Caenorhabditis elegans: one gene and its partners. The protein of the gene in region 3 purifies or fractionates together with the protein of the main gene of each other region. This does not show direct contact. Each region holds a gene or a part of one and is shown on either strand. Other genes may lie near its edges.

Region 1 (9,863 bases), on a different chromosome or scaffold from region 3:
CTCAATTTTCAGTCAAAAATTCAACTTTTTTGAGCATGTTTCGGTGATTTTTGCAAAAATTATCGATTTTTTCAAGAATTATAGATTTTTTTTTTCAAAAAGTATCGATTTTTTTCTCGAAAAGTATCGATTTTTGCAAAAATTTATTTTTTTAAATAGTATCAATTTTTCAAAAAGTATCGATTTTTTAATCGAAAAATATAGTTTTTTTTCTAATTTAGAGAAATATGATATTAAAGAAAACTATCAATTGTTCATAGAATTCTGAAAATATCTCTATTTTTCTTGGCAATTTTCAAAAAAAATTATTGATTTTTCCAAAATTTTTCGCATTTTTTACCTCCAAAAAGGAGCTTAATAACCGCCGCATGCTTAAAATTCGAAAGCATTCCATCAATTTTCGGAATTTTCAGTTTATCCGCATTCTTGGCCACCACATCAACTTTCTGCATATCTCGATCCTTTTCGACAAGCTTCACAGGCGGTGCAGACGTTCGAATCAGCGATCTTTTGTCTTCAATGGCTGCAGACGCAGTGGCTTCTTTCTTAATCTCAGCTCTTCGGTACAGAGCCAACAGATTTCCCATTCCAATTGCCATTGTTTGATCATCACGTGATACATCAATATCAAGTACTGGTGATGGCATTGACCATGAGTTGATTAATGAATAATTTGTTGTTCTGAATGCATTCACACGTCTATCAATTCCGGCAGACAAGAGGCATGTGGAATTGGTGGCCAGACGAAGAGATGTTACTGTCTTGTAGTGAGCTTGAAGTGCTGTCAGTTGGCGGCCCGTTGTTGTGTCCCAGATTCTGGAAATATTCGCTTTTTTTTGTGGATTTTGAAAGGTTTTTTTTTCCATTTTAGTGCTGAATTTCAACAAATTTATTTTCGGTAAATTGCTGGTTTGCCGAATTTTTTTCAATTTTTTTTTGCCAGAAATTTTCAATTTTCAATTCTGGCAAATTGCCGGTTTTCCGAATTTGCCGGAAATTGTCGATTCCGGCAAGTTGCTGAATTTTCAATTCCGGCAATTTGTTGAATTTGCCGGAATTTTTAATTTCCGGCAAATTGCCGGTTTGCCGAATTTGCCAGGTTTTTTTTTGGGATTTTTTTTTGCCAGAAATTTTTAAATTTCAATTCCGGTCAATTGGCGAACTTGCCGGAAATTTTTAATTCTGGCAAATTGCCGATTTGCCGGAAATTTTCAATTCCGGAAAACTGCAGGTTTTCCGAATTTGCCGGGTTTTTTAAAAACTTTTTTTTTGCCGGAAATTTTAAATTCCGGCAAGTTGCTGATTTTGCCGAAAATTCTCGGCAATTGCCAATTTTTCAAATTTGCCGAAAATTTTCAATACCGGCAAGTTGCCGAACTTGCCAGAAATTTTCCATTCCGGCAAATTGCGGAATTTGCCCAAATTTTAAATTTCGGCAAATTGTAGAATTTTCCGGAAGTTCTCATTTCCGGCAAATTGCCAAGTTTGCCGAATTTTTTTCAATTTTTTTTTGCTGGAAATTTTTAAATTTCAATTCCGGCAGATTGCCGAATTTGCAGGAAATTTTTTTGCTCAATTTGCCAGAAGCTTTTAATTCCGGCAAGTTGCCGATTCGTCAAATTTGCCGGAAATTTTCCATTCCGGGAAATTGCCGGTAGCCAAAGTTTCCGAAATTTTTAAATTCCGGCAAGTTGCCGTATTTGTCGGAAACTTTAAATTCCGGCAAACTGCCTAATTTGCCGGAAATTTTCAATACCGGCAAGTTACCGATTTGCCGAAAAATATTAATTCCGGCAAATTGCAGGTTTGCCGAATTTGCAGGAATTTTTTTTGCTCAATTTGCCAGAAACTTTCAATTCCGGCATGTTGTCGAACGAAATTGCCGAAAATTTTCCGATCCAGCAATTTGTTACACTACCGGATTTTTTAATAATTTTTTTGCCGGAAATTTTAAAATTCAGGCAAATTTTCGAATTTGCAGGAAATTTTCCATTCCGGCAAATTCGCCAAATTGCCGGAAATTTCTAATTCTGGCAAGTTGTCGAACTTGCCGAAATTTAACAATTCTGGCAATTGCCGTTTTGCCGACAAATTCGCCAAATTGCCGGAAACATTCAATCCCGGCAAATCGCCAAATTTGCCAGAAATTTTCGATTCCGGCAAATTGCTGAATTCACCAGAAATTTTCAATCCCGACAAATTGCCAAATTGCCGAAAATGTTCAATGCCGGCAAATCGGCAAATTTGCATATATGGCCTGAAAACGGCAGTTTTTGAAGGAAAATCTTCAAAAAAAAATTTTTTTTGCTCGTGTTTTTGACGTTTTCAAGCATTTTTGCTCAAGTTTTCACTGAATTTTTGCACTTTTTCAGCTTCCAACTACTCACTTAACAATAGGACCTGCAGCAGTGGCAATAAGCTGCTCTCCAGGCAAAAAGAGCACCGATTCAACAGGATGCTCGCAATCGAGTTCCAATGATTTCTCTTTACTTCTAATATCCCATAGCCGAACTTTATGATCATAACCACCAGTCAGTACAATATGATCATTAATTGATGAAACTGCTCCACATCTAATCGCATCTTCATGTGCTTGAATTTCAATTATTGGAACGGCATTTACTCCGTAAGCCGTGTCTGCCACTCGATATTGCTTGATTTTTCCGTCATCGGCCATTGAGAAGACAGTATCACCACGTGGAGAGAAATGAACACTTTTCACAGTTGACTGAGAAGCTTGCATTACACGAAGAGCAACTTTACTCGAGCCCGTCGTTTTTTCCACGTCAAAGATGCGAACTTTTCCCTCGTCACCTCCGATTGCTGGAAAATTAGATTTATATTTGGAAATTTTCCAATTAAAGGAGGGGACTAACGGTTCGGACGATTTTGAACGTATAGGCCCGAAATGAGCTCAAATGAATGAATTTCGTAATGAAACTGCTCAACATTTTTTCAAAAATTTTTTATGGCGGTTCAAAAAATTGGAAAAAAATTTGACTGATTTTTGCTAAAATCTCCAATTTTGCCCATTTTTCTGTGCTACATCTGTCCGAAGTTCGTTCATTTTTTTTGAAATTATCATCCTTTATTGCATATATTGGTAGTTTATCTCATTTAATTTCGTCGATTAAAGTATATTTAAAGCCGATAGGTAACCAATTTTGATGATTTTTGGTTACCTATCGGCTTTAAATTTACTTTAATCGACGAAATTAAATGAGATAAACTACCAATATATGCAATAAAGGATGATAATTCCGAAAAAGTCAACTTCGGACAAATGTGACACCAAAAAATAGGCAAAATTCGAGATTTTAGCTAAAATCAGTGTAATTTTTTCGAAATTTTGAACCGCCATAAAAATTTTAGAAAATTTTTTGAGAAATTTCATTAAGAAATTCGTTCATTTGAGCTCATTTCGGGTCTATACGTTCAAAATCGTCCGAACCGTTAGTCCTCCTTTAAAGGATTACTGTAGTTTTCGCTACGAGACCCTATTTTGCGCGTAAAATATGTTGTGCAATACGCATTCTCAGAAAGCGTTTTTTTCGGCATTTAATTAAATGTAAAAAAATTGTCGGCTTTCGATCCGAATATTTTCGAAAATTTGAGAGAAAACTTTATTTTTTCAGTATATATTTTTTAAATCGGATTCTAAAAATTTCCGAATTTTTATCAAAAATTAGTGGCGTTTTGGTTGGTTTTTACTTCTTTTTTGAAAATTGTGTGTCAAAAAATATGTAAATTAAATTTTTTTCTTGATATTTCTCTGAATATTTTTCATAAAATTATATTTTTTTTCCAATTCTTGCAATTTTTCTAAAATAGTTTTTCTCAAAATTTGGTTTCAAAAAATCCCGAATTTGTCATTTTTCAAAGGTTTTTTGTGGGTTTTGCCAGATTTTTTATATGTGAATAAATTTTTTTAATTCAAAAACTAGCAAAATTATTGAAATTTGCATTGAAAATCGGGATTTTCCTCAAATTTTAAGCATTTTTAAAGAGGAATTTTTTATTGAAATTTGGATTTTTTCAATTTTTTAGTGGAAAAACGCTAGAAAATCGATGATAAAATTTTTTCTGAAATTTTTCGTAAGAAAAATGTTTTTTGGACATTTAAAGTTTAAAAAGGTGAGAAGTCGAAAAAAAAAATTTGCAATATAAATTATTGTTTTCTAGAATCGGTGTTTTAAAAAATCTCAAATTTGTCTTTTTTTTCGGGTTTTGCCCTGTGAATTTTTTTTTGAAAAATGTCAAAATTTTTATAATTTTCGAACTCAAATTTTTTTTGGAATTTTTCACTGAAAAACGCTTTTTCTAGAATTTTCGCGATTTTTCTCCATTTTTCCAGCTAATTTGCTCACCCAAAAGCCGTCCATCATGTCTAAAATCAATAGAGCATACTCCTTTTTTGAATCTACTAAATAGGTTCAATGGTTCACAGACTACTGTATCGTAGAGTGTTAGACGGACACTGCTAGTCGTTGCCACGTGATACGGCTTTTTCGGTGAAATTCTGACGGAGCTGACGACGGCTGGCTCCTGGAATACGGTGAGTTGTTGCATTCGTTTCCAATAAATGACATCTTCGTCCAAAAGAATTGTCTCTTGTTTTCTGGAGAGAAATTTCTCTGCGGGGAGGTATGGTTGAGCCATTTCTGGAAAAAAAACAATTTTTTTTGAGGGAAAATTCTGAAAAAAACTGTGAATATTGAGAGAAAATTGAAGAAAAAAGTTTCTTTTGAAGATCAAATTTGCCGGAAGTTTTGAATTCCGGGAAATTGCCGAATTTGCCAGAAACTTTCTTATCTGGCACACTGCCGAATTTGCCGGAAATTTTCAATTCCGGCAATTTTTTTCCAGAATTGGTTTCAAAAAACCTTTAAAAATTCTCAATTTGCAAATTTTTGATTGAAATTCGAGAAGAAAAATTGGAGATTTGTGAAAATCGAGAAGTTTCTTTTTTTCAAAAAAACGTGAAATTTTGTTATTTTGCAATTTTCTTTGTCTTAATTCGATAGATGCTGAAAAAAAACCAATTTTTGTAAACTTTAAACTTAAAAAATGGCTTAAATTTCGCTATTTTTTGCTGAATTTTAAGATTTTTGCCCGAAAAAATACCAATTTTTGGGTTTAAAATTAATTTTGAATCAAATTCTGATACCACAAAAGTGAATTTTCTTTTAATTTCGCAAAAAAAAGTACATTACTCGTGCGTTAAATTCAATTTTCTCGAAGCATAAGTCAAAAAAGCGTCTTAATTTTCGCAATTTTTCTTTTCAATTTTTAAAAATGGTTTTTTTTTCTGATTTTTGACCTGAAACATTTTGAACAATTTTAAAATTTTAAAAAAGATATAAAAATGTGCATGATAACACCAAAAGTAACAAAAAACGAGGAAAAAATCAAATAAATTCAACATTTTCTTTGGAAAACTGAAGAAAAACTCAAGAAACTCAAAAAAAAGAATGAATAACAAGTAACAACTCAAAAACAATCTAAAAAAACCGAAAAAACAATAAAATTTAAATTATTTCCTCCCAAGAGCCGCAAGAGCCTGTTGCTCCAAATCTTCCACCTCATCCGGCTCCTCCTCATACTTCCTTCTAACCGCATCCGGATCCGGGAGCCACGAGATATCCGGCTCATCCTCACTTCCATCCTCATCATACTCCACAGCTTCTTCCTCCTCAGCTCTCCGATTCTTCTTCGCAAGCTTCTCCTGTCTCCGTTGCTCGCGGAGCAGCTTGAACCTTTTCCGATCCTCCTTATCGCCACTTTTGATCTCCTGCCGGGCTTTTTCAATATCCAAACCATAGGAGGTGATAGTTGAGGGGCCTTCTTCGAGCTCTTCGAGCTCATCATCTTCTGCTCCAAATGTCTTTTTCGTGTTAACTTTAAGCTTTTTGTTGAGGATTTTCTTCGCCGCCGACACTTTTGTCACTGCTTTTTTGAGCGGTTTCGTCTTGGAAATGGTGATATTTGAGATCTTTTCAGCGGCTTCTTCTTCCTTGATCTGCTCAGGCTCTCCTGTAGGCTTTTTCACTGTGAATATATCCTCATCGTCCTCATCAATTGCGAATTTTCCAACTAGGGAAGCTTCTTCTTCTTCTTCTTTTACTTCCTGCAAAATGTTAAAATTGAAAATTTTATTGCAAAAAATGAAAAAAATAAGGTAAAAAAATAAGAAAAACCGCGCCGCACGGTTGCAAAATTACGCTCCGCCTTTTTTTCTGTGCGGCGCTGCTGATTTTTGCAAAATTTACGAGACCCGACCACGCCCATAAAACCATGCGGAAAATTCAAATTTTGCATACTCCGCACGGTTTCGGGAACAAAAATCGTGGCCACGCACGCCCATTTTTCCGTGCGGCACGAAAAAATGGGCGTGGTCTTGGTTTTCTTTTCACCAGTTCTCCTATCGGTGGTGCCTCGAATTTTGTGCCCAAAACCGTGCGGGGGTAGCAAATTTTGGTTTTTTTCCGCACGGTTTTATGGGCGTGGCCAATCTCCCAGCAGCGTCGTATAGAAAAAGAGGCGGAGCGTAATTTCGCAGCCCTGCGGCACGGTTTTTTTCGAGGATTTTACTCAATAAAGTTTCGATTTTACTTGGTTTATATCGGGAAAAAAAACAGTGTCACACGGTTGCAAAATTAGGCTCCGCCTCTTTTTCTGTGTGACACTGCTAGGGAGATTGACCACACCCATAGAAACGTGCGGGTTGCAAAATTATAATTTTCGGCTCGGTTTTATAGGCGTGGTCAATCTCCCCAACATCTTCGCACAGAAAAAGAGGCGGAGCGTAATTTTGCAAGACTGTGGCACGGTTTTTTTTTCCTTTTTTTTCAAAAAAATTTCGATTTTTCCAAATGAAAATATTATCCAATTTAATTCTTTAAAAAATCTTATAAGAATTCAATTGGACAACATTTTCATTCGGAAAAAACGAAAATTTATCGAAAAAAAAAAATCAAAAAAGGTGAAAAACCGTGCCGCAGGGCTGCGAAATTACGCTCCGCCTCTTTTTCTATACGACGCTGCTGGGAGATTGGCCACGCCCATAAAACCGTGCGGAAAAAAACCAAAATTTGCTACCCCCGTACGGTTTTGGGCACAAAATTCGAGGCACCACCGATAGGAGAACTGGTGAAAAGAAAACCAAGACCACGCCCATTTTTTCGTGCCGCACGGAAAAATGGGCGTGCGTGGCCACGATTTTTGTTCCCGAAACCGTGCGGAGTATGCAAAATTTGAATTTTCCGCATGGTTTTATGGGCGTGGTCGGCCGGGTCTCGTAAATTTTGCAAAAATCAGCAGCGCCGCACAGAAAAAGAGGCGGAGCGTAATTTTGCAACCGTGCGGCGCGCGGTTTTTCTTATTTTTTTACCTTATTTTTTCATTTTTTGCAAAAAAATGGCAATTTTTCAAAAAAAAAGTACCTTCTCCATCAATTTTTCGCCGCTTTTTTTGGCCTTCTTATTCAAAAACCTGACCCTTGGCACTGAAACCAGTCCAAAAGAATCCGCCAGAGCAGCTGCATCAATAGCCTCCACATCAAAAACCTTCTTATCTTTCATCGTATAAATCGATCGAAGATATGCGACAATGCTCTTCTGTGCGTACTCTTTCAACTCCTGTGACTCTGCGAGAATTGCCCGAAGCTTCACCCTAACATCGCTCATCGCATCAGGATGAATTTTGAGCTCTTCAATTGGAATCGAGTGCTTCTCCAACTTGCCAATCATTGCTTCTTCTTGTGACGGGCTCACCATGAGCAATGAGTTTCCAGAATCATCCATTCGGGCGCTTCGACCCACTCGATGAATGTAATCGTCGATTTGAGCCGGGCAATCCACCTGAATCAGTTTTTTTTCGGTTTTTTTTAAATAAAAAAATGAAAAATTTTGTTTTTCGGTTGTTTTTTAACAAAAACGAAAAATGTTCGTTTTTCGGTGCTTGTTTAAATAAAAAAAAACAAAAAATTTTGTTCTTTTGTTTTTTTTAATAAAAAAACGAAAAATTTTTCGTTTTTCGGTTTTTTTTTTAATAAAAAACGAAAATTTTTCGTTTTTCGGTTTTTTTAAATAAAAAAACCGAAAAATCGAAAAAAAATTTAGGATCAAATTTGCTCAAAAAGTGCAAATTCTGTGTTTTGTATGAAATATGGCCTAAAAATATTGTTTCCAGATTTTTTTTTGATTTATCCAAAAACGGAAATTTTTCGCTTTTTCGGTTCCTCAAAAATACCGAAAAATTCCACAAGGAGTACTGTAATTTTAAATTTTCGTTACCATAGAATTTTCATCGATTTTTTATAGTTTTTCTGTGAAAAATTGTGTTTTTTCCGTTTTATTTCCATATTTCAGTTTAAAAAAAATAAATTTAACGTTAAATTGATATTTTTTGATTGAAATATTGAAATAAAACGAAGAAAGCACATTTTTTAGACAGAAAAACCATAAAAATCGATGAAAATTTTAAAAAAATTGTCGTGTCGTGACCGGCTTTGGGCCAATTTAGGCCAATTTAGGTTAGGAAAAAGTCTCAGTTTTCCGCCAATTGGATTGGTTCGGTGGAGCGCACTTGCATTTTTTTTAATTAATTTTTTTTATTTTTCTCATTATTTCACTAATTTTCTTCATTTTCTGGGTTTTTTATCGGAAAAATAGACATAAATGCAAATTGTTCATTAAAAATCACTGAAAATGTGTGTAAAACTGTAAAATATACTAATTTCAGGCTTGTTTTCGTCGGAACTCATAATTTTACAGTTATACCCATTTTCAATGATTTATTAATGAACAATTTGCATTTATGTCTGTTTTTCCGATTAAAAAAAACCGAAAAAAAAGAAGAAAATCAGTGGAAAAATGAGAAAAATAAAATAAATCAATAAAAATTAATGCAAGCGCGCTCCACCGAACGAATCCAATTGGCGGAAATTCAAATAAGAATTTTTTGAAAACTGATTTTTCCAATTTTCAAAAAATTTTTGAATTTTTTTATCATGATATTCGGTCATTGTGACCCATAGGCGCGGTTTAAAGTAATTTCCCCACTGATCGTAGCCCACTTTTAACAGAAAAAAAACTATGAAAAATCGATGAAAATTTCAAGACAACGAAAATTTGAAATTACAGTACTCTTTAAAGGCGCACATCCGTTTGTATTTATCAAAAAAAATTGTCGTGTCGAGACCGGCTACCGTATTATAGAAAAATACGATCGCACGAAAATAAACAACGACGCAACGACACTCCGCTATTTTTAAGCCCCGCCCACGATTTCATTTGCACTGAAATGCGTCGGCCGCAGTGCAAATGAAATCGTGGACGGGGCTTAAAAATAGCGGAGTGTCGTTGCGTCGTTGTTTATTTTCGTGCGATCGTATTTTTCTATAATACTTTGGGCCAATTTTGGTCTTTTGAGCTAAAATACAAATTTTCTGATAAAAAAATGGCCAGTTTTTGCACATTTTCATACCGAACAAATAAAAAAGAAGCAAAAAATCGCATAATTTTTATTTTTCAGGTCAAAAACCGGAAAAATTGTGACTAAAAAAGTAGGGCGAGTTTTTAAATTTTAATTGAAAAAAAAAATGCAAATTTTCTGATTTAAAATTGACTTCAAAATTGATAATATTATGATTTGAAAAAGTTCCAAAACCAGTTTTTGCAGATTTTCGCACCGAAAAATTAAAAAAAAAAGCTTATTTCACAATTTTGTGGCAAAAATCGTTGTTTTCCCTGAATTTTAATTTCTCTGAAAACTAAATACTTCGAAAAATACTAGAAATTATAGTTTTTTTTTCTATAATTTCTGACCTGAATAACCCAATCAATATGCTCAAAATCGAGTCC
Region 2 (8,417 bases), on a different chromosome or scaffold from region 3:
TCCGAAACCACGTATTCAAATATTTTTGTAACTACACTTTCATTCAAATTTCTCAAATATTGATAGCAAAAAAGCAGAAAGTAAAAAAATAATCGACCGCGCAATTGCTTTGGTATTTCGTAAAAAACTAGAAATTTTTGAAAAATCTTCGTATGGAATCGTATTGAAAAAACAAATAAAAGGAGTCAGGAGCTATGGTAATTTTGTAAATTTAATTTATATTAATTGAACTTAAAAATGGAGGGTACAATTAATCACTTACCTTTGAAAATGTACCATTTATGAGTTGATAAACTTTTCCAACCAGCCCGTCATTGGCTGTGTACACTTCCGACTGCACAAGATTATAAATATTGAGTGAAACAGTAAAATTAGCAGACTTTGAACAACTGAAACTTAGATCAATCAATAATTATTTTAAGTTATATAATCACTTATTCAATGGCTTCCAGTCTCCAATTTTTACAATATCGTATCGGAAATAAAATATAAAAGTGAGAGGGAGACTTAGAGCAAGTGCTCCCATAAAAATGTAAGCTCCAAACTTTGAAAGTGTGACTTTTCGAAATGCACGTCTAGTTGAATACTTCATAACTATCCAGCGAATTAAAGCCATGGCTACGCTGAGCCACGTGGAACATCGACGAAAAAAATCATTGATTACTATATTAATCCAGTACATATGAAATGGTGGAAGAGATAAAGGAGGCTCACTGAAAAAATAGGCACAGTAGGTAGATCAATTGTGGAAATTTTATAAAAATTACTCCGCCAGGTTAAAGAACATAAACAAGTAGTACAAGACAATCGGATTAAAAACAGAAATAGGTGGAGCCTATTTTTGATTTTTATAAGGAACATCGATAACTGGCCTATATCTTTTAGTGGTAAACTGACCAAGGTTTCACATTAAATTCTATCATTAAATACAAAATATTATAAAACACAGAAGCCACCATTGCAAGTATATCACAAAGAGCCACTCCCATCATTATCAAAATTACTGAAGATTTCAAAATTGATTTTTGAGATAAAACGAATAAATGGAAAGATGTGGTAAAAACGCCAATAATGGAAAATACTATATTCAAGGCAATAGATGGATGAACAAAATTTCTGAAACAAAAATGAAATATGATCTGGAATTTAAGCTGAAAAAGCTTCAACTTACTCGACGGTTTTTAGAAAGTGATAAAGTTGAATTTTAGTCGCATTATCATAACTTGGAAATGCTGAAGTCGCTAGGTTATAGGTATTCTCATCCATTTTTTTTTGGGAAGAATTACCAAATTGAACGGAATAATTTTTAATCAATGCCACTTGCATGTGTGCTGTTGTTATAACAGCAGTTGTTTCACCTGTCGTTTGGTGCTGAAATTTGAAGCTTGAGCTTCAGGAATTTTGCTCAACAAAAAAAAACAAGGAAAATATTGAGTCAGTTAGTATTGTAAGCGGGGAGACCTTCGAAAAATAGTATTGCAGCCATATTAATAGAAGAAATACGGTATATAGGTTTTATAAACATGTCATTTTCTAAAAATCATTTTGTCATGAACAAGTCTCATAGATTGTTCTGTTATTATAAATATAGTGAAACCGTCATCAAATGTTAAAATATTTCACTTCATCTTTACACTATTTCAATTTGAGTTTATTTTCCATTTTTCGGAGGACAGTTAAATTTCTTTTTAAATTAAAATATCAATAAAGTGGAATTGTGATCAGGTGTAGCTAGAGCTGACTGCAATGATGATGGGTGGTCGCTGGAATAAAAATAATTTGTAACTTAATGAGCCCAAACTTTGATGGTTACATCATTCTTGAATATTTTTGAAACTGCCCTCCGATATTGTGATGACATCAGAAAGAAGATGGCGCCTTGAAGAGCCGCGTGTAGAACAAAGAAGGCACTTGAAAATTGTGCAACGGAGGTTGCCATTCTCCTGAAAATTTTGATTTCTCAAAAAAAGAATTCCCACACAAATATTTCCAATTATTCTATCACGTTATCACTTAAAATCTGAAAAAAATTGGAGTCCATCAATGCATTTGAACTAAATGTAGATCCCTTTTTTAATAGGGTTAACAAACCAGAATTATTACGGTTTCACTAAATGCATAAAATTACAGCAAAAAAGTGGAAAAATGTTAATCCTTTGAAATTATATTCGCTATAAACATGTCGTATAGTTTGTATTATCATTATAATTAAGAACAGACGATAGATTAAATATGTTTGTTTAACTTTCGGGTGGCATATGTTTTCATTATTTTCAAATATTGCCAAAATTAATTTCTAATTATTCAAACCCTCACCAGTATCCCAAGTCAGTATATCCAAATTGTAAAACACGAACAATTCCATTTGGAACTTCAATAAGAAATGTAGAAGCTGTTATAAATACGACTAGCCCCGTGGTTCTTTCTGTACTGGCAACTGACTGGGTTTCATTGATAATTACTGGTCTTATAGTTAAATTTAACATTCTCTGGTGATCCTTGGCTTTTTTGAGTTCGACAATAAGCATATAGGTTAGAACTGGAAGCAGAAAACATGGAAACAGCTGAAAATTATTTTTATTTTTAGGAACCAAAAATTAGTTCTTGGTTAATTGCTTTAGTAAAAACAAAATTATCCCACTTTGGAAATTGTTCCATTAATCAATTGATATACTTTTCCTACAAGTCCATCGTTAGCCTGGTAGACTTTGGATTGTACCAAAGTGAAGATAACACGAGATTCTGGATAACTCGTTGCAAATGTGCAACTGAAAGTGTATTTTTAATTAGGCAAAGGTTGTTAAATCTGGATTACTTATTCATAGGCTTCCAGTCTCCAATTTTAACGATATCGTATCGGAAATAATATATTACAGTTAATGGAATGCTTGATAACAACGTTCCAATAACTAAAGTGAATCCGAATTTGGGAAAATTAACTTTTCGAAATGCTCTTCTCGTTGAAAACTTCAAGACGATCAGTCTGATTGTGGCCATAACTACGCTGAGCCACGTGGATGTTCGACGGAACAAATCATTAATTACTACATTGATCCAGTACATATAAAAGAATGAAAGTGGTGCAGGTGGTTCACTGGAAGTGGAAAGATGAGTTGATTTAACATCGGGTTACAAAAGTCAAGTACTGTTTACTACGTGATCTCTTTAACTACGATTTAACCACATAGATCTTTTACTACGTTGGGTTACTGTAGTAGTACTGTGGAACTAAGCTTTTGAATAAATGTACTTTACCAGGGTTTCACATTAAATTCCAAAATCAAATAAAGATAGTTATAAATAATAGAGACAAACATCACTAATATATCACAAATAGCGATTCCTATCATTATCAAGATTACGGACGATTTTAACATTGAATTTCGAGATAAAACGAATAAATGGAATGATGTTGTAAAAATCCCAATTGATGAAATTACAATATTAATGATTATTGATGGATGGACAAACTTTCTGGAATTTGACGGTAATATTACGGGATTTTCAAAGCTAAAACTTGCTCAACAGCTATAAGAAAGAAATATAAATCAATTCTAGTCGCATTATCATAGCTGGGAAATGCAGAAGTTGATAAGTTATAAAGAAGCACTCTGTCAATCATTTCATTCAAATTCAGCTTAAAATAACTGAAATAAATAATTTTTACTATATGAATACACGTGGCCGCGAGTTGTGACATTTTGATGCAAATGTTTCACCTGCTTTTCGGTTTGAAGGTCGAGAGTTGTGTGCTGCTTTAAACCCATAACAAGAAAAGTTTATCAGAAAACAATATAAATGAAAGGAAAATAGTGGAATACGGGATAATTTGCAATAAATGAGTTGTTTCATCAAGTGGTGTCCGATGGACCGAAACCTTGAGGTTGTGTTGATCATCGGACACCACAATCGAATTATTTCACTTTGTAGCATTCAAGTAACGGAATTTCGGGAGACAGAGAAGATGGGAAGATAATGTCTGAAAAGGATCGAAAGAGAAACAATGGATTTTTAGGGGGAGAAAGAACAGAAACCGGGGGAAACAATTAAAAACCAATAATTTAATCAATTTAGCGTCTCTTTCCGTACTTGTTCTTGCCACCACGATTTCCGCCGCGACGAGTGTCCTCTTTAAATCCACGACCAGCTGCCAAGTCCTCTTCCCGAATATTGTCCGAATCATCTGAATCTTCGTCTGATTCCTCTTCAGAATCATCGTCCGATTCTTCTTCCTTATCCGATCCTGCCTCTTCGTCAGACTTCTCCGAATCACTGTCTGATGAATCTGAGTCAGACTTTGCTTCTCCGGCCTCTCCCTCGTCTCCGACGTGATCCACTGAAAAAAAATTGAACTTCATTAATTTTCAGCAAAAATAAACTTACAGAACTCAACCTCTCCCTCGTCTTGTTCATCGTTCTCATTGAGCTTGGCGTTTTCTGGGATAAGTCCCTCGTTCTTCAAACGGCGAGCTTCATCTGGGGTGTACTTCAGAATAACATCTCCCTTGTCGTCTTGATAATCTCGGAGACCGACGAGAATGATATCTCCCACGTTGATCCAAACCTTCTTCCTCAACTTTCCACGAATATGGCAGACACGCTGCTTTCCATCAAAACAGAACACTTGAACACGACCGTTACCAAGCATTTTTGAGACTTGTCCATATTCTGGAATTAATGCTTTTGTTTTTCGGGAAAGAAGTTATAAAATCTACCTTGTCCCTCCTCCTTGAGGTCGAGCTCGCGCTTCATGAAGTCGTTCTCATTCTTTCCTCTTCTGCGATTCTTTCCTCCCTTTCCCTTATTCTTCGGCATTGCTGAAAATATTACGAAATAATTTGGAAAGTTGAAGTTACGAGAAATACAGAAGCAAAGAGGACTGCAAAAATTGTAGAAAAAACAAGAACATAAATATGCATAAGGTAATGTCAGATTTCAATGGAATTTAACAAAAAATTAAGAAGAATGAGTATACTATCCCAAAATAAACAGTTTGCTTGGATTTCGTGAGTATTTTGATGAAAAGTGATTTCTAAAAATTGGAAATAATAATTTTATCAGCGCTTGAGATTAAAATTATGTCGTCAATCGACAAAAATAAACAAAATAACAGAAGAAAAATTTCAATGAAAAATCGACGAAAATGTGGAGTGCACAGAAAAGTGGGCGGGGTTTGCTATCGCAAGAGCGCGGCGCGAGGTTACGTAACTGCGGACTTGGCGACACAATTTACGACACTCGCTATTTTTATTTTTTATTTTGCTTATTTTTTATTTTTCTCTCTAAAATTTTGTTGTTTTAACGAATTGTTTTCGGAAAAAAGTTATTCAGAATCAAAGATTACTTCATAGAATATAATTATTGTCCAAAATATAAAAGAATTGTAAGATAAACATCTCAAAACGAACATTTAACCGCAAAAACGTATTTTGGGAAAACAATCACAAACTTTTCACGCAAAAGTGTTTTACCTACATTTTTTTGTAGTTTATTAAGTCACAAAATTAACGACATCATGAAAAATACAGCAGATAATATTTTTCTGTCCGAAAGCTTTCCCCAGTTTAGTTTTCTCCAATAGAAAAACTCCAAGTTTTTTATAGCGTTTTCGAGATGAGCTTTTTTTCAAATTTTCTGAAATGAAGTTTGAAGTTTGTATACAACCCAAAATATATGTTTATCACCGTGCAATATCACAAATGTCGTCATCGCCTTCTGTCCTATTTCGCAATCATTAATTTCCGCAAATCTCTCTGAAAAAGAACTACAATTCCAGCTATTCTTGCATGGGAGAGCCTCTGGTCGCCGAGCCGACAACTGAGCAGACTCCGTTGAGCACAAATTCAGTTGCTTATCAGAGCTCCGACGCGCTTCCAGATTCCTCAGAAGCATTCGGAGTAGAAAACGTTTATCGTGCTTTGATTATCTTCTGTGATAATTATTCGTTGGATAAAAAACAAGTGCGTTAGAGAACATGTTTTTGAGATTTTCGAAATTTTAACGTGAATTATTGTTCTTGTTTCTGTCTAAAATGGCCAAAATTTGAAAATTTCAGGTAGCTCTCGGACTCTTTCTTTCTATTCTACTTTTCATCTTCTCTGTTGGCACTATCATTGCGTGGAATCGATATTCACCAATCATTCAGGAGTTTATCATAAGAGAGAACATTGAGAAAGCGAGAAATAAGAGCAACGAAAAAAATAGTAAGATATTTAACAAGTTCTGCACTGATAACCATTCCAATTTATTTCAGAGAAAGAAGAATGAATAGTTTCAAGAAATTCCTCAACAAAAAGCGAGTCCAGAATCACTTCAAAAAGAGCGGTGAAGGTGTTCGTTTGTCATCCGGCGAGTCATCTTCGCAGCCTTCTGCCCACGCTGGAGCCGCCCAGGGAGGCCAAATTGATCGTGTCGCGGCCGCTGATATTGCTGCTCAGGCTGCTTTCAAACGGATGCAGAAGAATGAACCTCAACAAAATGCTGGAAAACGAAGAATTCAAATGATTGCAAAACGAGAGCTGGAAGAAGAGAGACGTCAGGTTGAAGATCTCAACATTTCTGGGACTTCATCACTGCAGCAACCCGACCGTGAGCAACACCTCGAGCATTCATCCGCAATATCACGTGTTCTCTACACTTCCGAGTTGCTCGGTGAGCATCATATTCGCTCGAAAGCAGATCTTCTTGAAGATATCAAAAATTTCCTTTCTGATCAGATCAGCGAGGCGGATGATGAAAACGATAAAGTGATTGCCGCAGTTTTGATGCTCTATTCACTTAATAAGAAACATCCCAAGGAGGTTTGTGTATGCTCAGAATTTCAAAATATCGAAAAAAAATGAACTCATTCTGGCTAAAATCTCCAATTTTGTCAACTTTTGTGTGTTGCAGCGGTCGGAAAATGTTTTTTAATCTATTGTAATAGTTTCTCACATGTTATAATAACGTTATTTCGTTATTTAGCCAATTTGATCATTTTTAGCTAACAATAGGCTAAAAAAGTTACTTTGTTAACGGAATATTTCGGCAAATTGAAGAGTTTCGCTAAAATTTGCCCGTTTTTTTTTTCTCAAAATTTTGAACCGCCATCATAGTTTTTGTGACATTTTTGTCACATTACCGTTGAAATTAAACTATCTATCCGCAAATTTCGCAAAAATCAGCGTCGCACAGAAAGAAAAAATCAACACGGATTTTTGTAAATCTGCGAATCGGTCGTTTCACCTAAACTGTACGAAATTCGTTGTTTTGGTAGAAAAACAAACAATCTTCTAAATTTCAGACTGCCATCGAAACAATCTGCAAGTATTGTCAAAACATTTTGGAACACCCAGGAGAGGATAAATACAAATCAATTCGTTTGGGAAATAAGGCATTCCAAGAACGAGTTGCATCAGTAGTTGGAGGACGTGCATTCCTTGAAGCTGTTGGATTTACTGAGAAATCTGAAGGAGAAGACAAGTTCCTTGTGTTCACAAAACCATCAGATGTTCATTTGGTGGAGGCTCTGGAAGCTTTGAAGGATGGGCAGGCTGTGCCTATAAAGGTTGCTAGAAATCTAGAGATCTTCAAGCTAAAAGAGGGGCAAAAACCGAAAGCACCAAAGTTGGCAGATGATTTTTACAATTTGTCGACTGCTGAACTCAAAGCCGAACAGAGAAATAAGGAGATGCAGGTGGAGAGAGTGAGTGGAGCTTTAAATTGAAAAATCACACAATAAATTGAATTTTTAGATGCTGACATTGCGTACGAAGGAAATGAGACAAAAAGACGAACAAATGACCAATTATCGCTACAAATATACGTTGATTCGTGTCAGATTGCCTGGAAATTTGTTGATGCAGGTATGTATATTCCAGAAATTCAAGTGATTAATTATTTTATTTTATTTTTCCAGGGAGTATTTGGTTGCCATGAACCATTTTCCGCAGTCCGTGTCTTCGTTGCTTCAACTCTTTCCGATGCTCTTTCGACATCCGAATTCACTCTTCGTGACGCTGCCAGTCAACTCGTGGAGGATGAATCTGCATCGTTGGCTCAACTCAGTCTTGCTCCAGCTGCTCTTCTTCATGTCGTCTTCGCTGAAAACCTGTCTGATTATGGACAAATCGTTGCCGATGAGCATATCGAAATTATCCAGGAGCTTGAAGCTTCCGACTAATTTTTGTATAATTTAAAAATATAATTCCCGGCTATTAGTGTGATATGTTTGTCATTATTTTTTTCCGGTACTGCTGATGTTTTATTTCGCCTAATCGCTTTCGTTGTATTTAACTTATAAGATGCAAAAAGATTCGAGCAGCATATTAAAGATTTTGTACAGAACCGCACTTTAACTGTTTCTCTATTCGTTGTATATCGATTTTTATTTTGAAAATTATTCACTCTATCAAGAAGAAGCCGAAATTCCGCCCACT
Region 3 (11,740 bases):
TAGTGGACATCACCCCAAGCGACACGCACAGTCAAATATATTTCCGAATTTAATTGTACCTAATGTGATGGATGACTACCGGGGAGGGCCGAATTGTTGTATAACGGGGAAGTGGTGGAAGGGGATATCGGTCTGAATTTTATCCTTAAAAATTTTTGACTACTCGGCCACCACTATTTTATCGGCCACTTGTTCAGAAAATTGGAAAACTCGGCCACCAATGTTTTCTAGGCCATTTGTCCTGAAAAAGGGAAAACTCGGCCACCAATATTTTCTAGGCTACTTGTCCTGAAAATTGGAAAACTAGGCCACCAAGATTTTTTCGACCACTTGTTCCGAAAAAAATAGAAAAAATCGGCCACTAATATTTTCTCGGCGATTGTATAGAAAGTTGGAAAACTCTGCCACCAATAATTTTTGGCGACTTGCACAGAGGATGGGAAAACTAGGCCACCAATATTTTCTTGGCTGCTTTCGTAGGAAAAAAGTCGTAGGAAAAGGTTTCGTAGGAGAAAGGAAGGGTCACCAACATGTTCTCTAGGAAAACTAGGCCAACAATATTTTATCGGCCACTTGTACAGAAAATTGGAAAACTCGGCCACCAATATTTTTTTGGCCGCTTTCCGAGAAAAAAGGAAAACTTGGCCACTGCCCAGAAAATGGGCAAACTAATAGTAAGCTACCAATAGTTTATCCAGAAAAAACTTATTCAGAAAACAACAAAAAACTCGGTCATTTAATCTTTATCGAGGGAAAACAAGGCCATTGCCCAGAAAATGGGAAAACTAGGCCACCAACATTTTCTCTAGGGAAAACTAGGCCGCTTTAGTAGAAAATTGTAAGCTCAGCCACATGTGCAGAAAATGGGAAAACTAGGCCATAAATATTTTCTCGGCCGCTTTCCTAGAAAAAGGGAAAACTAGGCCACCAATAGTTTTTCGAGTGAAAACTCGGCCACCACTATTTTTTCGAGTGAAAACTCGGCTATCAATATTTTCTTGGACGCTTTCTTAGAAAAAATGAAAAGTCAGCCACCAATAGTCTCTCGGCCACTGTCAAGAAAATGGGAAAACTAGGCCACCAATTTTTTTTTCAGGCTGACTGGTTTGCGGCTCGGCTGCGACACAGAAACTGATGGCCTAGTTTACCTATTCCGCGGCCACCTGTACGTCCTTGCGTGATATCAAGGGGTTCTGGCCTTCCTCGTTGCTCCATTGACAATCACTCGCCGGACGACGCGTGGGAAAGTCGTGTACTCCACACGAACAAATACATTAGTTTTACAACTAAAACCGAGCCGCGACGCGACACACAACGCGCCGTAAATCTACCCCAGATATGGCCGATACAAAATGGCCTAGTTCGGCAAACTCTTCCATTTCAATTTATGAGAGAAGCCAGAAATCCATGATGGTTGTCTATATGCTTTTAAAAAAGACAAATTGGCCACAAAACTAGGCCATACAAAATGGGGTTTTCTTTCAAAAAATCGGAGACAAAAAAATTCCTTTTGGACACTTCGTTTTTTTTAAATTCGCAAATAAATTGATGGCCGACATTTTTCTATTCCGCGGCCATGAAACCCAAACGACAAATTGGGACAATTGCATTTAGTATTTAAAATGATGACGACCAAAAAAAAAAAGAAAAAAACCGAATTAGGTTGTTCATTTTTCGGAGACAAGTGCGGGCGCCCAATCTGTCCTGGAAACACATTTTCTCCAAATTCGCTGCCGCAGCTGATAAGCCGTGAAATTGTTTCGATTTCACATCGAAAACATTGAAAAATTCGCGAAATTTCTCACATAAAATTTGCTTAAGACACGGAATTCTGGCTTTCCTCATAAATTGAAATGGAAGAGTTTGCCGAACTAGGCCATTTTGGCTCGGCCATATCTGGGGTAGATTTACGGCGCGTTGCGTGTCGCGTCGCGGCTCGATTTTAGTTCTAAATGTATTTGTCCGTGTGGAGTACACGACTTTCCGAGCTGGCAATTGTCAATGGAGCGCGAAAAATTCAATGAGGAAGGCCAGAACCCTGTGAAAAATTGCTAAAAGTTGTAAAACTAAATTTTCTTTTTGGGGAAAAAACTAAAAAAAACTTTTTTTTTCAATTTTTTTTCCTACTTCCCAACAAATTTTGTATGTATGAAGAGTTTTTTTGAATGGGGGGGGGGGGAATTGGGGCACCCGAAGAAGGCGAAGAGCCCCCAATTCAATTACTTCAAAAGAGAGGCTTACAGGGGGCAGGCGAAATAACGTGAGAAAGGTGAGAGACGCAGGCGAAAATGAAGTAGCGCCACCACCAAAATTTTTGGCACTTTTTTATGCTCTCAAGATGAATTTTAAGTTTTTTTTTCTTTGGTGAAGTTGCGCGACATTTGGAGGGTGGAATTTGGAGGGTGAAGCTTTTTTTGGGAATTTTATTTTATTTTTTTTTGGTTTTTTGATTTCAAAGAATTCGATTTTTTTAATTTAAAAAAAATCTAATTTTTTGAAATCAAAAAATTTTTAGATTAAAAAAATTTATTTTTTTGATTTCAAAAAGATTTTGAATTGATTTTTTCAATTCAAAATTTTCGAATTCAAAAAAATTCGAATTTTTTCGATTTGAAAATTTTTTTTATTTCAAAAAAAATCCAAATTTTTCGATTAAATAAAAATTGAATTTTTCCGATCCAATAGAAAACGAAACTTTCTGACTTCAAAAATTCGAAAAAAAATCGATTTTTGAATTCAAAAATCGTAAATTTTCGATTACATAAAAAATCTCAATTTTTCGATTTTTTAGATTCATTTTATGATTTCAAAAAAAAAAATCTAATTTTTCAATTTCAAAAAATCGTAAATTTTGTTCGATCTCAAAATTGAAGTTTGTTTCGATTTTAAAAAAATCTAATTTTTTCCGATCTCATAAAAATCGAAAATCTAACATTTTTTGACTTCAAAAATTCGAATTTTTCCGATTTCAAAAAATATTAAATTTTTTCATAAAAAATCGAAATACTTTCAATTTCAAAAAAAAAAATGAAAAAGATGTTTTCCTATCCTATAGAAATCGAAATTCGAAATTTTTCGTTTTCAAAAATCCATTTTTTTCGATTAAAAAAAAATCGAAAATCTATTTTTTCTGATTTCAAAAGAAAAACGAGAATTTTTAAAGTTTTTTTGAAATCGAAATTTGTTGAATTTTCCGACAAAAAAATTTCGATTTTCGACATCTCTGAAAAAAAAATCCAAAAAAAATAATTCAACAATACTCAAATTTACCTGGAAGGAACAAAAAAAAACGATGATGATAACAATGAGGAAAAAAGCAAGGAAAATGTTAAAATTTGGATGGGAAGAGGACAATTTTTTGAAAAAAAAAAATAAAAAGGCTAACAACACACAACAACAACAATAAAAAAACTGTGCAGTTAGGAACAGGGACAGAGTAACTGCAACTCTTATTCAGTGATTTTGTAGACGGGGGGGAAATCAGTGGAAAGAACGGAGAAAAAACAACAGAAGAGAGAATTGATGTAGGCGAAGGCGAAGGCAACCGACGATTTATCCGACCTCCATATCTTCGTCGTTCTGGAAAAAATTTGGATTTTCTACACCGAAAATTTGTGATTTTACAGATTTTTTCAATTTGATATTTAAAAAAGGCAATATTTGTTTTTTTTTTTTGGAAAAAAATCTTTCTCATTAAAATCAACATATTTTGATAAAATGAGATTTTTCCGTACATTTCTTTTATTTTTCTCGCTTTTTTTTTTTGATTTTCTTTGAAAAAACCGAAAAATCGAAATTTTTCAAATGTACTGATAAAAGTTGATAAATTTTGGTTTTTTTTTTCACTTTTTTGAAAAAACAAAAAAAGTTAATTTTTTCGATTTTCACTGAAAAAAGCGGAAAATTCCATTTTTCGATTTTTAAAAGTTTTTTTTCTGAAAAAAACCTAAAAATTTTCAAATTTTCAATTTTCTGAAAAAAAAACCTAACAATTTTCGTTTTCTGATTTTTTTAAAAATTATTTTTTTACTGGAAAAACACCTAAACTGTTTGATTTTTCAATTATTTCTCTGAAAAAAACAAAAAATCAAAATTTTTCGTTTTCCGTTTTTTTAAATTATTTTTTATTTTTGAAAAAAAAAATAATGAAAATCCAATTTTTTAAATGAAAATTAATTCGATTTTGTCTAAATTTTCACCGAAAAACAATTAACCACCGTCGAACTCCGCCCACTTCGGCTGATTGGTTCAAAGGTGGGCGGAGTACAAATCGCTGATTGGTCTTGCAGTTTTCACGTTTTTAAGGGGTTTTTCGTTATTTCTTCATCATTTTTTTTTCGCTTTTTATTTTGTGATATTTCTGAATTTCAGGCTATTTCGGATATTCTAGAGCACAAAATTTAAATAAAAAAAGTTTATATTAAATTTTTGTTTCTTTCAAATCACTACTTTCCAGATGTATTCTTTATCCAAAAATAGGTAATAGCTTCTGTTCACAAACAAAAATCTGGTTCTCATTATACAATGTGATGAGATATTGCGTACGCGCGCGCCCTGAGACTTCTGGCTGCCCAACAACATCACAAAAACTGAAATTACACCCTAGAAAACTTAATAAAAATGGATTTTCTGTACTGATTCAGGCGCAGATTAGATTCACCATTTTCCAAGAGATATTTGACAGGTTTAATGATATTATGATATTAGAGAGACGGCGGGGAGTGGGGAACTATTTTTCATTGGAATATTACGGTGCCACAAAATAATGAAAATACATATTTGACGCGCAAAATATCTCGTAGCGAAAACTACAGTAATCCTTTAAATGACTACTGTAGCGCTTGTGTCGATTTACGGGCTCGTCTTTTGAAAATGTTTTATTTTCGAATTTTGACATCGATATTCAATTTTCCTCCGCTTTTTCGTATTCTTTTTTTCATTTTTGTGCTTAATTTTAATATGTTATCCATTAATAAATGATTTTAATTGAAACCGTCAAATATAAGCTTCATTTTGATGAGGAAACTTCTACAAACGTATTTTACATTATTTTCCGTCTATTGCAGGCTTTTTTCCAGTTGAAACCCGGCAATAAACAGGAAATAATGTAAAAATACGTTTGTAGAAGTTTCCCTATAAAAATGAAGCCAATATTGGACGTTTTTCAATTAAAATAATTTTTTACTGGATAAAATATTAAAAATAAGCACAAAAATGAAAAAAGAATAGGAAAAAAGACGATGGAAAATTGAATATCGGTGTCAAAATTCGAAAAAAAAAAGTTTACAAAAAGCGAGCCCGTAAATCGACACAAGCGCTACAGTAGTCATTTAAAGGATTACCGTAGTTTTCGCTACGAGATATTTTGGGCGTCAAATATGTTGTTCGATACGCATTCTCGGAGTTTTGTGTTCCCGTAATAGAATGGTTAAATTTATTGATATTTCTGAAAATTGCTAAAAACGTTGAACTTATTATTTTCTACATATTTAGCGAAATTTTGTTCGAATTTCCAGTTCATAACTCCAATTTCCGGTTTCCAAAGAGGCAATTATCGTTTTTTAATCAAAATTGTTCGAAATTTTGGAGGAATTTCAGTCAAAATTGAAAATTCTCGTTATTTTTCCGTTTTTTTAAATTTAAAACTATTTAAGATTTTTTGAAGCGAAATTCACTGTATTTCCACTATTTCCATATCACAATGTCTATTTTTTTTTAAATATAATTCCCATAAAATTGACTTTAGGAATCACGGATTCAAGATCAGGTGGAATTCCGGATCTCGCATCGTGCCAACTGCCGCAGTTTTTTCGAAAAAAAACGTGACAACGATGCTCCGGTATTACGCGTCACGAGTTGTTTAGCGTATTTCTTTGAGAAAAGTTGCGTTTTATTCGTTGGCACAGTGCCAAATCCGGAATTCCACCAAATCTTGAATCCGTGGTGTCTTATTCAGTGGAAAAAATCGAACCTCAGATCCAGATCCGCCACTTTCGGCACTATCTGCGTCCATTTCACTATCATCCGAATCATTATCGTCCTCGTCATCGTCATCCTGATTCTCTTCTTCATCCTCTTTCAGCTCATTATCCTCCCACCAATCGTCTTCGCTGCTCTCACCGTCATCATCCGAGCCAATTGTGTCAAAATCTTCAGAATCCGAATCAAGATCTGGAAATTGGGGAAAAATAGGTTTAAATTCTTCATAAGACCTCGGCCATTTTGAAAATTAAATTTTTTTCGGAAAATTCTACAAAAGATATATAAATTCTCTTGGTTTAACTGAAAATATCATCTTTTGTAGCTGAAAATGCCTAAAAACTGTCCGAAAGTTGCCGAAAAATCGGTCATCGGCAACTTTCAGGCAATTTTTCTGCTCTTTTTCCAATTTTTCCACTAAAAATAATGTTATTTTCAGTAAAAACAAGTGAATTTCTATGTTTTGAGACTGATTTTATTGAAAAATTTGGGAAGTACAGGCTTTTTGTAGAATTTTCCGAAAATAATTGAGAACAGGAATATTCACCTTATTATATACTAAAAACCGCGGAAAAATCTGATTTTTAATGTTTTTTTATAAAAAACCTGCAAAAATTCATTTTCCGAGCTTATCTACAAAAAATTCTATTTTGCCGCATTCTCTCGGTTTATATGAAAATAACACACTTTTCAGCAGAAATATTGGAGAAAATGCCCAAAAATTGCCTGAAAGTTGCATTTTTCTGCGTTTTTTTCCACTTTTTCCACTAAAAACAATGCTATTTTCAGATAAACCAAGTGAATTTTCACTGAAAAACGTGGGAAACACAGGCTTTTCCGCTGGAAAATATCTTGCGCGTAATTTTCCGCGAAAATCCGCTCAAAATATTACCATTATTGAACACAACCAACGGCTGCTGCACAATAACCACATTATTAGTTCGTCTCTTGATAAGATCAGCGATTGTGGATATTTTTCCGTGAAGAGCCAACAAATCTCGATGATGACCGACTCTTGAGCGCAGCCAGCCGATTAAACCGCCAATTTCCTTCTCCAAATTCGGAAGTGAGCTGAGATAAGGCATGTGAATTGAGAAGGCGATTTGAGCCCATCGGATGGTTGGACGAATGCTGGAAAATCAATAAATTAGGAGGAATTAGTACTAAAAATTCGATTTACTCTGCAGCATTCCTCGTTTTCAAGCGAGATTCGATGATTTTGAGCAATGGCAAGACCTGCATCGGCTGGAGATCACGGAGGGTAGCGTGAATAATTTCAGAATTCAAATTTCTAATGACTGAGTCGATTTTTGCACTATCATTAGCCATTATTCCCTGAGTAAGCAGAACACATTGTGATCCACCGCCGCTACCACTCGTTTTTCCCTTTTTGAGTTCAGAAGTTGGCCTGAAAATCGGAAATAATTGAATATTATCGAAAATCCACCAATAATCCTACGTGGCTGGCTCTTTTTCACGATCTCCGAGCGGTTTGTTGGCCTCTTTCTCCGATTCACTCAGTTTTTTCCCATTTCGAAGCGAACCGTTAATATGCGAATGCCCATTTACTACAGGGGACTCGATTTTCTCAGGAGTTGCAGGAGATGTAACTGCCGCCACATTTGATTTCCTGGCTTTCCGTTCTCGAGCCATTTTCTGGAAACTGCAAAAAAATATTGGAAAATTCGATTTTAAGGCCATTTTACGCACAATAATCGCAAAAAAGATACATTTCACGGTAAAAAAGCTTTAAAAACTAATAAGAACAATAAAAAATCAATAAAATACGCCTGAAAACCATGAAAAACTCTTCAAAAACGCCTGGAAATAAGGAAAATAAAGATTAAAAATTTTGCACCGCAAACGCGCAAGCGACGAGAAATGCGTCAGTGACGGGGTTGGCGCGGCAAATTAACCCCGCGAATTTTGAACGTGACCCCTTCATTCGGTGGATTTTGGGCCCAAAATTTGCGATTTTCTCTTATTTCCATTTCATTTGCGGCAGTTTTTTCCGGAAAATACACGAAACTGGCTTATTTCAACATGAAAATCCAACTTTTTTAAGCGAAAATTGTCTAAAATTGAAATAAAAATGCAGAAAACGGGTTTGTCTATCTGAAAATAATGTTTTACGGCATTTTTCGGCAAACTGCAAGCTTTTTAACAAAAATGAGTTTTATTTTCAAATAGAAAAACCCGTTTTCTATCAATTTTAGATCAAAAAAGTTGGATTTTCATATTAAAATAAGCCATTTCTTTGTTTTCAACGTTATTTTCTCATTTTTAATCACTAATTCATTTCAGAATGTCTCAAAAATCAAACGACACCACATTCTCGGTCAGAGCCGCGCTCTTCGCATCACCCGTCGGCTCATCATCAGCAGTTCCAAAGAAGAAAGTGGCTCGAGAGGTGCCACGTGCAGGGCCGCCAGTTTTTGCCCTCGAGCACGATGTTTCGGAAGTCACCGACAGAAATAAAGACGGCACCTTTCTGGCTGCAGACGCGTGCGCTAGTGGCCCTACTTTGAAGGTTCCAGACGAAACACAAGGTTGCCCAGAAACTTTCAGTGTTTCGGAACACGAAGATGACGACGACGTTGAGCCGATGGAAGTTGATGGAACCATCGTTCCGTCGCCCCAGCGAGCAACGCCGACACGTGGCGTAACTCCTTGCGAAAAATCGACGACTCCACGCAGAAGATCCTCGAGAAAGTCGATGCCAACGCCTGGGAAGCGTCTGTTCTTCACCAGCAAAGACACTACGAACGAGGATCGCAAGGCTGATGACTCGACGCAACTGGAGCTTCTGATGGCAAAGATTCCGCAGGAGATGTCGGGTTACATGAAAAAGTTGGCCACCGACATCAAAGAGGTAGTATTATCGATTTTTAACTTTACATTTAAATCTAAAATTTTCATTTTCAGATGAGCCAATACGATGCACAGCTGGCGCGGAATATCGACGACATGGAAGCGGTTTTCAAATCCCGCGAAACTAAGCTCAAGTCAGCTATTGAAATCGCCAAGGACAGCTTCATCTCGTCCGCTCTGCCTCTTCGCCTCGAGACCCTGGACATGACTCTGCGTAAAGAAGAATCGCCAAATGATATCGTTGCGAGACTTCACGGAAGTTTTCTCGACAAAACCCAGGATGCCGGAAACGTGAATACTGCACAAAAGGAGAACCAGCAGCTGGAGGATGAGCGCGGGATGCTGGTGAGAGTTTCAAATTATTTAAATATGATTTTTAAAAATAAAAATACAATATTATATTTCCAGGAAGAAAAGCTGGAGAGTCTCAACAAGATCAAGAGAGAGAAGGATGAATTTCTGGCGAAAATGCGAAAAGAGGAAGAGGAAGCGCTCGCTCGCCGGGAGGAAATCAAGCAGGGCTTCGAGCGAATCGATGCTCTAATGAGCAAAATCAAGCCGATTCCAATTTTTGAATTCTGATTTCTGATTTCTCACGCTCTGTATAATATTCTATTTCTGACACAATTGATTTCATAAATACATGTATAATATTTTATTCATAGCCTAGGTCTTGCTTATTAAGTGTCAATTTCATTACGTGTACTTTAATTATTGGTTTTGAGTATCTGAAGTTGAGATCCTAGCTGCTTTGGTCCTTTATAAATATATGTTTCTTTAATTTGAGTTGCTATCGCTATCGAAGGTCGTCCTCTTCCTCCTCATTTGCATGTTTTTCTAGCTTCTTCCCCATTAGTTTCCCGCTGACTCCACCGTCGACGAGGTTCTCGAAAACCACGTCGCCATTGTTTCGAAAACAGGAAAATGGCATTTCGCGAAGTGTTGTGAGACCACACTGGAATTTTATTAGTTTTTGAAGCTTTTAGATCGAAAATTCATCGAGGCACCACGGATTCAAGTGCCAACGCAAAGAAACGGGCCAGATCCGATATCCCACCGGTTCTAGATTTCGTGGTGCCTCAATTGGTCTTGCCACGTGGTCAAAGGTCTCGCCACGCTTCCGATGTGGTGTGTGTGCCTTTAAACACGGGTACTGTATTTTTTATAGGTTTTCTGACTTTTCGCTCTATTTTTTTCGTAAAAAGCGGAAATTTTATTGAATAAGAAACTACTATCCTTGCTGAAAATATTCTGAGAAGCCACAGCAGTTGCAACGGTTGCCACGTACTCGCAATCTTCCTTCACAGCATTTTCCAGACTCTTCTCGACGAGCTGTCTTCCGATTCCCTTCCTAAATTGAGCACAATTCCCTAGGAGAACAAGAAAAAAAAAGAAGAAAATTGCTTCCTACCCTTGACAAGCCTTCGACACGCACAGCACATCGATTTTGAAGACTTTTTTCGGATTTCCAGTCAAAAACGACAAGTCTTGCTCCAAAACCTGCACGAATGCCACCAACTTGTTGGCATTTTCGTGTTTGTACTGGCCATTTGTGATTTCTGCGTTAAAATCCCAGTGTGGATTGAATGGGGTCGATTCGGAAACAAAAGAGCATTCTTTGACGGCATTCAGGCAAACTGCCACGATTTCCTGAACACTTTTTTTTCTAGAATTTGCGGGAAGCTAGATTAAATCTGAAAAACAAAAAACAAAAACCTACTTCCCCATCAAAAACCAGAATTGAACTTTTCTCATCTTCCAACCCGCTCATCGTCAAATCAACGAAAAACTCGGCGACATCTTCTTCCGAGCAGCTCAATGAAGTTGTGATGGGCTCCATTACTCTAAAATGCTCCACCAGGAACTTGTGAACTTGGTCCTTGTGCTCCAGGAGCCCAGTTTGGAATGTGAGCTCCGGCATTTGCAGAAAAAAGCGAATAAAAATAAAATAAAAGAAAGCAAAAGTGAAAGACTATTCCTCGAGAGCTCTGTGAGCCCTCACTTTTTCTCTGAACCTCCGAGACAACACGCGTTACATTTGCATTTTCACCACACATATTTCCCATGCTTCCAAGTATTGACATTTTCCTTTTCCTGCTTTTCTACTTCTCCCCTTCCTCACCGAAGTGTCTACTCGACGATTATGGAGCTTCTGAGAGCTCTGCTTTGCAATATTCTCAATGGAGCGCATTTGTGGCTGGTGGCCGTGGCCGCGAGCCGCGACGCAAGCACGCGCCGCTCCTGGGAATTGTTTCGAGAAGGAATATTTTCGTCGGACTATTTCTCGATTTTCATCTGGATCTTTGTGAATTTTCCAGATTTTCTTCATTAATATAATACTTCTAGACTTTCTACACATTTTAACATCAAAATCTTCGAATTTTGTCTTCTCTGCCCTCGTTTTAATCGCTCTTAATATTTCAAAATATTATACTCGTGCTTTAAAAATTAATAATTCAAATTCAGAGCAAGATGATGCGCCCACCAATTATCCTGCTCAAGGACGGAACTGAGAACAAGCAGGGAAAGGGTCAGATCATTTCCAACATCAACGCTTGTCAAGTTAGCTTCTAAAATTCTAAAATTTAGTCAAAAATGCCTAAAATGCTGTATTTTTCAGGTTGTCGCCGACAGTATCCGTACCACCTTGGGTCCACGTGGCCTCGACAAGCTCATCGTCGATAGCAAGGGAGCCACGACGATCTCCAACGATGGAGCCACAATTCTGAAGCTTTTGGATATTGTCTTCCCGGCCGCCTCCACAATGGTTGATATCGCTCGTTCTCAAGACGCTGAAGTCGGAGACGGAACCACGTCTGTCGTCGTTTTGGCCGCCGAAATTCTGAAGCAAATGAAGCCATTCATCGAGGACGGTGTCCATCCACAACTT

The links.
Region 1: the proteins of T10B5.3 (region 3) and Y23H5B.5 fractionate together in Caenorhabditis elegans (co-fractionation; one large-scale study listed by BioGRID). This does not show direct contact.
Region 2: the proteins of T10B5.3 (region 3) and eif-1.A fractionate together in Caenorhabditis elegans (co-fractionation; one large-scale study listed by BioGRID). This does not show direct contact.

Annotation. Positions count from the first base shown.
Region 1 is NC_003279.8:2,492,932-2,502,794, reverse strand, and holds the start of Y23H5B.5 (U3 small nucleolar RNA-associated protein 15 homolog), read right to left. Parts: upstream 4,662-9,863; 5' UTR 4,660-4,661; coding exon 4,368-4,659; intron 2,824-4,367; coding exon 2,388-2,823; intron 817-2,387; coding exon 341-816; intron 1-340. Other genes in the region: ddx-10 (ATP-dependent RNA helicase), read right to left, coding at 5,534-6,127, 7,443-7,859, 9,828-9,863.
Region 2 is NC_003282.8:4,807,334-4,815,750, reverse strand, and holds eif-1.A (Eukaryotic translation initiation factor 4C), read right to left. Parts: upstream 4,818-8,417; 5' UTR 4,816-4,817; coding exon 4,716-4,815; intron 4,669-4,715; coding exon 4,384-4,668; intron 4,337-4,383; coding exon 4,071-4,336; 3' UTR 3,768-4,070; downstream 1-3,767. Other genes in the region: srw-94 (G-protein coupled receptors family 1 profile domain-containing protein), read right to left, coding at 263-389, 435-713, 898-1,116, 1,172-1,266; srw-95 (G-protein coupled receptors family 1 profile domain-containing protein), read right to left, coding at 1,722-1,763, 1,814-1,943, 2,317-2,564, 2,642-2,768, 2,816-3,094, 3,256-3,474, 3,522-3,622; H06H21.37 (uncharacterized protein), read left to right, coding at 5,787-5,960, 6,056-6,203, 6,254-6,267; ubxn-6 (UBX domain-containing protein 6), read left to right, coding at 6,264-6,800, 7,283-7,684, 7,734-7,844, 7,898-8,161.
Region 3 is NC_003283.11:1,860,930-1,872,669, forward strand, and holds T10B5.3 (Small-subunit processome Utp12 domain-containing protein), read right to left. Parts: upstream 7,643-11,740; 5' UTR 7,633-7,642; coding exon 7,439-7,632; intron 7,388-7,438; coding exon 7,160-7,387; intron 7,111-7,159; coding exon 6,872-7,110; intron 6,172-6,871; coding exon 5,972-6,171; intron 3,580-5,971; coding exon 3,553-3,579; coding exon of another isoform or gene 3,450-3,552; 3' UTR 3,249-3,449; downstream 1-3,248. Other genes in the region: knl-3 (Kinetochore NuLl), read left to right, coding at 8,285-8,851, 8,905-9,195, 9,259-9,432; T10B5.4 (aralkylamine N-acetyltransferase), read right to left, coding at 9,647-9,805, 10,087-10,201, 10,262-10,500, 10,571-10,771; cct-7 (T-complex protein 1 subunit eta), read left to right, coding at 11,323-11,412, 11,471-11,740.